2 linked regions of the Arabidopsis thaliana genome follow. The protein of the gene in region 1 interacts with the protein of each later gene in a pairwise test. Each region holds a gene or a part of one and is shown on either strand. Other genes may lie near its edges.

What was found.
Region 2: the proteins of TPR1 (region 1) and WRKY32 interact in a two-hybrid assay, tested with the Arabidopsis thaliana proteins (one study listed by BioGRID).

Annotation. Positions count from the first base shown.
Region 1 is NC_003070.9:30,265,215-30,268,814, forward strand, and holds the start of TPR1 (TOPLESS-related 1), read right to left. Parts: upstream 1,912-3,600; 5' UTR 1,686-1,911; intron 1,327-1,685; exon of another isoform or gene 1,295-1,326; 5' UTR 1,233-1,294; coding exon 1,153-1,232; intron 1,081-1,152; coding exon 901-1,080; intron 819-900; coding exon 546-818; intron 454-545; coding exon 276-453; intron 159-275; coding exon 35-158; intron 1-34. UniProt on the Arabidopsis thaliana protein: Transcriptional corepressor. Activates TIR-NB-LRR R protein-mediated immune responses through repression of negative regulators such as CNGC2/DND1. Negative regulator of jasmonate responses.
Region 2 is NC_003075.7:15,052,392-15,056,223, forward strand, and holds the start of WRKY32 (WRKY DNA-binding protein 32), read right to left. Parts: upstream 1,717-3,832; 5' UTR 1,518-1,716; coding exon 1,337-1,517; intron 1,245-1,336; coding exon 1,189-1,244; intron 868-1,188; coding exon 212-867; intron 127-211; coding exon 1-126. Other genes in the region: AT4G30940 (BTB/POZ domain with WD40/YVTN repeat-like protein), read left to right, coding at 2,758-3,832. UniProt on the Arabidopsis thaliana protein: Transcription factor. Interacts specifically with the W box (5'-(T)TGAC[CT]-3'), a frequently occurring elicitor-responsive cis-acting element.

The DNA of each region.
Region 1 (3,600 bases):
TATAAAGAAACACCACATTTGATAAGCAAATAACCTTGGATGGATGGAGCACCAAGAGCAATGGGTCCTCCAGACACAGCTGGATGTGGGACAGAGGAAGGACTAGACATCCAACCAGCAAGAGGTGTCGGAACCGGAGAAGGTGTTGGTTGAAAAGGCTAAAGACATAAAGGTAAGTCAAGCACGGCATGTAAAGGTAACTATAGAGCTAGAACCAAAAGCAGTAGAAATGGCACTTATAGAAAATACGAAAAATCAGGTGGAAATTGACCTACCCCGTGTGCGCCTAGAGGAGGAAATCCCTCGGCTTTTGGTAATGATCCAAGAAGCGGATTGTTGACAGGGGATGGTGCTCGTGCATCATTTGGTAGGCGGCAGGAATGATCGACAAAGAGAGTCTTAATATCAGGATTAGGCCTTGGGTTCTTACAAAGCTGGTGTTGCCAATTTAAGCTGCAGGTTTATGTAGCCACATAGAAACAAGGAGTTAAAGTAGCTGACAAGAAGAAAATTTGTTGAAGTGAACAAGAAAGGACAAAGAATACCTCTGATTAATCAGAGTCCTGAGGCGTGAAGTTCTAAGGGTAGGAAACTGCAATTTATCACGGAATAAAGGATTAGCTTCAATCAACTTCTTGAGTTCCACCAACATGATAGCTCTGGCGGACTTTGTGTCCCCATACTTGGATAACTGCTCGTTCTCCCTGAAGTTTTCTAAGGTCAAGAGCTGAGTGATTTCCTTGAAAAGCTCCTCATTAAAAGTGGAAAACACTTTCAAATCTTTGACTAAAATATCGACAGCCTTGGGACGATCATGCCTAGATAGAAGCAGCAGCAGGTGTGATTGATTGGCAATATGAAAACATTTGATTCTTGTTGTTGTTGAGAGACACAAGTTACCTATCCAAGGCCTCGAGATACTTCTGCTTCCTAATCTCGAAGAAAATCTTCATGGAGTATCGATTATCATCAACTTTAGTAAAACCAGAGAGATACTTCTCAACCTCATCCCAGTTACCATTGTGCACCTCATCCTCAAAATACTTCATATTGAAGAAAAACCCAGATTCTTGTTCAAGCCTAATTAATAATCAATCAAGTTAATAATAATGCCTAATAAAAGACAAAAAGGAAAAGAGAGATCGGACATACTTATGAACAGTCTCTTTAAACTTCTCTTCATCTAAAAACTGTAAGATCAAGAAGACGAGCTCTCTGCTCAGAGAAGACATGATTGATTTTGCCACTCAGTCCGATAAAGCTATCAAGTCAGATGCAGAAAAACCCACCAGATCTGCATATCAATATAATGGCGACGATGATAACCTTACAAAACCATCAAATCATCCCAATTTACTGGGTTTCAGATATTCCTCCATTTAATTATTATTTTTAAAAAATGAAAATAGACACAGCCTCTTAATTACACAGTATATAACTAGATCTTTACAACTATCCTCCGGAAAATTCTCCAAAAGTCTCTATTCCGGCGGATTTAATTAGTGTTTAATTGGGCTACACAAAAATTAGGTCTTCCTAGTATTATTATTGTCCACCGAATTAAATATAAAGCTTAAAATGGCCATCTTTTTCACTTCCATGAGACAAAAACAAAAATCAAAAACCCAGAAAAGCTACGATTTAGATATTAAACCAAAAATGAAAGACCTAGATACGTTACTTGCCATGAAGAAGAAGAAGACGATCGATTTCAGAAACAAAGGCCAGAGCTTCAGTTTCTCTCTCCTGATATTGAAAGAGGCCAAGGATTTGGGTTTTTTGGACTCTCCTCTCTCGACCAGAAAGTAAGAAAAAAACTAATGGAAAAAAAAAAAACAAGTTTTCTCTCTCTCTCTCTCTCTCTCTTCAGGCTTATTTATACGAACATTAAAATCTTGCAGAAATGGAGACTTTAATTTAAAACCAAAAAATAAAAAGTGATTTTAATATGCGAAGGTGACGGATAACGGAGTCTAATAAGACAATGCACCTATCACACGATAAGGGAGCTGATTTTGATAAGCACGTTGACTTATATATAAGTACAGATTAAAGTTTAAACCAGCATATACGACTTAGCCGGCTACAATTCTCGACGTTATCGGCTCAGAATCTCTAGCTGCTAGCTGTACTCCAAGTAGACATGATCCTCTGTGTCACAACATGAGTACACCCTCGGTGAGTGCCGTCGATCTTGTACGATGAACCTTAAAGGATATTCATCCAACGGTTTGAAAGCGAAGTAGCTGCGTCCCCACATTTCCCTCATAACACGACAAAGCTTTTCCTTCTGAAATGCATCTTTAAGTTCCATTGCCCTTGAAAATGACAAATATTTACCTAAATTGCCATTTTTATTCTTGAGATGCGGTACTCGTTGAACAAAAATCACGTGATTGAGAGATAATGGAAGAGGTTATCAGTTAAATTCTCCCGACATGATAACTCTTAAGCCTTCTCGTGATTTGGAGTCGTTAATAATTTAGTGAGACTCGTTTAATTTCTAATCATTTAACTGTTTTGGATTGTTTTTGTTAATCGCATAATGTGATGTGAGCTATATATATATTGACTATTGAGGATTATAATCGAATTTATTTACTCGATGACTAATAAAATGATTTTGTTTGTTTATTCACAGCGTAATTGGTATTTTCGTTATATATATTCGACGGTTTAATTACAATGAACCAATATGTTAATTTTATAATGTGTCTAGTGTTATTTTATATTGGTCTTTCAGACTTTGACAAGAAACATCGAGTTTGACGTCATTACCGTAAAGTATTTTGGCACCAAATGAAGATCAATATTATTTGTTTTAATTGCTCAAGAATGATGATGGTTGCTTTTGCTAAAGTTATGGGTGCACAAGAAAAGTATATAACTTTTGAAAAGCACATTTTTATTCTTTTAATTTACACGGTAACACGAGTATCTCTACTTTTCTAGTAATGCTTACACAGATTGATATCTTGATTATTTGGATATAAGTTCATTTGCCGATTTAGCTTGCTTTTTTATTCAAATACTGATTAACATGGAATGCAAGAAAAAGGAAAAAAAAACCTTCTTCTTGCCATGGCGAGTGAGAGGACTACTAAAAAGAATACAGTAATTCCAAACTGATAAATATGAGTTTTTACGTGTGGAAAAAAAAAATTTGAGTATTACCTTAGCTCTGCAAGATATATTAAGAATACAGCAAATAAAGAAGAAATCAAATAAGCATATTAGATTTGTTTTCACAAACTGAAAAATCCTCAAATACATAAAAAGAAAAACACATAAAAATCCAAACTAATAAATATGATTAATGATTCACTGATTTTCGCCTGAACTAAATTATGGTCGTAAGTTTTTTGTAAAAAATTGTTAAAAAAACAAAAACTGTCTTATCGAGACTTATAACAAATGATGAAAATCTGAAGAAATAATATATATTTTTCAAATAATTATGTGGTTTGACATGTCAACGTCTTTATTATCAATCAGAAGACAGTAAGGAACATTAACAATGAAAAGGGAAGTTATAAATTAAGATGTCAATATCAGACAACTACTCGTCAATCCATTATGATACGTTTCATTATGAGTCAC
Region 2 (3,832 bases), on another chromosome or scaffold:
CCGTATTTACGCCACCTGTATCCATCACCACAGATACCAACATCACCAGCTGCGTGTACTACGAATTTGTTTTTCTTTCCAGGTTTGGAGACAGAATCTGAACTCTGTGAGTTATCTTTTTTCAGTCTGAAAAATAGAGAGAAGAAAGTCTATTAATTTCATCTTTCAAAGTGAAGAGTAAGCACCGAAATGCAAAATTCTACAAACTTGCCTTCGTTTTGGCTCTGGTTCCTCCACAGCTTCGTTCTCACAGTGTCTTTTCCGGTCAACGAGTGTTTGCGACTCACAGATGTATTCTTTAGTAGAAGCAGACGGATCTGAACCGCTAGGAACAATTGATAGCTCTTCTACTACTGTATCATCCTCTGAAACAGGCCGGATAGCTGTTGTAACTCTAATCTCTCTCGGGGAGAAGCTAGTCTTCCGGGGAGGTTCATGAGTATGTAAACCTTTGTTAACAATCTCTACCACATTGCCTGAATCATTGGAGCATTCAATTTTTTTAGCACAACATTCAGTGTATGTACACCTGTAGTAACTCCGTGAGCCCTTGGGACTCTTAACCTGCTTCTGTCCATATTTTCTCCAATTATAACCATCACGAGCCGGTGTCCTAGGAACAGGAGTAACCGACAATCTGTTAACCACCGGCGAATCTGATCTTTGCTCTTGTTTAGTTGGAACTGAAACCAGTGGTAAATCTTGTGCGGTTGAAGCAGTTGCAGGATCCAAAGATAGACATGGCGTCACTGTCAATGAGTCTGACGATGCAGCCAGAGAAGGAGATGTTTCTACCTGACGATTCTCTTCCACTTCATCAACCGGCACAATCGCACTTACAACAGTTTCCTTGACGCTATCAGTCTCCTGCCAATGTGATACAAAAAGCAGTTAAATGTCATGCCTTGATAACAGTGATTCTTGTCCTCAGAATTGCCTAAGAAATCAGACACACTAAAATGTAACAGATCAAACTGATACAGATACAGATTGAACTTGGCCAAAGGTTAAAACCATTACGATTAATCCTATTCCCATGTTATTGTATAATCACTGAACGAGTAACATCGAAGACACTGAAATGAGTTAAACTTTACAAGTTCTAGCACAATCAATGTTAATGAGAGAATCAAAGTTGTAAGTGTTAAGAAAGTTTATGAATAGCAGAAGAGTCTGAAGCAAACTCACATTCACTTCTAATACATCTTCAACATTTGGTTCCACAGAGGAATTTTCTCGAACACCTGGTAAACTCAAACATCATTTCGTCAAAAAATAAAGTCTCGAATAAATAAATAAAAACCAATAAAGAATTTTGCGCAGAATAAACCGTTACCTTGAACCTGATCCTTGCCTAGGGTTTCTCGCACAGTCTCATCATGTAAATCTTCCATATCCGCACCAAGTGATTTTTCCTCGTCTCTGAATTGACTCAGTCCGTCCTTCTCCGGCTCCACTTTCTCGCTCTTCTCCACCGTGTATGTCTTAGCTTCGTCGATACCAGTGTCTTCTTCCATGGACGATTCTCTCTTGTCCTCTTTTTCTGTATCTCGTGGGTTTTGTCTGAAGAGAGTAAAAGAAAGAAACGAACAAATTCTCTAGGCAGACAAAAAGGTAGCCGCTTTCCGACCGACTGATCTCCGGAAGAAAACGCTGCGTTTTGGTCCTTTATTATGCCTTCTCTGCTTTAAAAGCAAAAGAAGAAAGAAAAAAAGATACCAAAAAAGAAAGAGAAAGAAGGGGCATTAATGTCTTTCAGTCTTTGTTTGACTGTAGATAGTTAAACCAACTCCGTTTATTTCTCCGTTAATCACCCCTGCGTCACGTCAAATCATTGACGTGTTCCGTTTAGTTTACTATGTAAAATTTATCTTAAGACTATCTAGGATGTTTGTTTGTTTATTATCATGTGATGTGGTGATAAATAGCATAATGAATATGGTCAATGTTCTACGAATTTTGATATATCAAAGGTAATTTTTTGTTGTGTTGATCCATCTAGTTTAGATCATGACTGACCCCGAAAAGATTAGTACAGTGGTAAATTACTTACTTTATAGAGGAAACAACTGCAAGAAAAGTGGAGTTTGTTTTGCGTTCTTCCAAAATAGTGACTGAAAGAGGAAAAACATATACGTACTTTAATGTATGATAAGACTCAGCACGAAAATAGCAAAATATTTCAATGGAAAAAACGAAATTGTTTGTATTCTTCATTTTCTTCAGGGCTTCTAATGGCCCCATTTCAGCATACAAAAAAAAGGATATGTTAATGGGATGATATCTATCTATATGGGCTTTAGAAACGTTATCATGGATCACGGTATTAGCTTTGAAATTACACGAAATCTCGACCGCAGGATAGACGACAATATCTAAAAGCATCTGACGGTAGTAACACGAGTATTGTCTCTAGTAGGTCCCACCATGTTCCAGTTGGGTTTCTTACGTTTTAAATGCCCGAGCAACGGAAAAATGTCCGAGACCAAGACAGATCGTTTTATTTTCTCTTCTGGGAATCTCAGCTTTTTTTAAAAAAATATCCAGAGTCCAGATCATCGTATTCAATTTGATTAATCATAAATCAGATTTCATTTCGTTATCCTTTCCCAGGATTCAATTTCTTCGAATCCGATCGAATTTCGAATATTTTCAATCCGAGTTCGAGCGTTCATGGCTTCCTTGTCTTGTCATTAATGCTTTTGGTTCGAATCCATAAAAATCATTGATTTCACCTATTTTCAGAAATCAGAAATAATGGGTTTATCAAATGACAGGATCAAATTCAACGTTGGTGGCAGAATCTTCGAAACGACAGCGACAACGCTCGCTAACGCAGGTCGCGATTCCTTCTTCGGAGCATTATTCGACGAAAATTGGAATCTTTCACAACCCGGGGATCTCTTCATCGATAGGAATCCAGATTGCTTCGCTGTTCTTCTCGATCTTCTCCGAACAGGAGACTTAAACATCCCGCCTAATATCCCGGAGCGTCTCCTTCACAAAGAAGCAATGTTCTACGGCTTAATAGACCACTTACGAACCGCAAAGTGGGGACCTTTCGACGGTAACAGACTCCACCTATCTCGTTCCGTCACCGGCATAGCTCCTGGAGACGGAACGGCGATAAGAGCTGGTCCGGATGGTGGATGCTGCATAGCTCATGGGAGTGTCGTCCATGTCTTTGATTGGATGCTTGAGGAGCATCCAACGATTAATCTTGATTACCAGAGAGTGAACGATGTTGGTTGGATTGATTCTGGTAACATTGTACTCTCTGCTTGTGAGAGATTAGGAAGAGGAGATGGAGGAATGGGATTGTTTAGCTCATCTTCTGGTGAGCTTAGGTATAAGTTTCAGGTTAGTCATGATAATCAGGTTAAGAGTTATAGTGCTGGAGCTTTGAGTTTTAGTCCTGATTCTAAGATCTTTACGAGCTGTAAAGGAAGAAGTAATGAGTATGGGATTGGAGTTTGGGATCAAAGTACTGGAAAGCAAGTAGATTTCTTTTACGAGAGTCCTGGTTGGTCTTTAGGAGATGCTGATAAGTTGCAATGGTTGAGTGGTAAGAATTGTCTTCTTGTAGCTACTTTGTTTCCAAGGAAAGATAACTGTTATATTAGCTTGTTGGATTTCCGAGAGAAGAACATGGTCTGGTCTTGGTCTGATATCGGATTTCTTACAATGGCGGAAGAGAAGAGAGTGAGAGACGCGATAGCAATGGAAGAGAGCAATTCGATATGTGTGGTGAATGAGTTTGAAGATCTAGGGTTTATTGATCTGAGGATGGATGGAGGAGGGAGTAGTGTGAGGTGGAGTTCTAGGAGCAGGT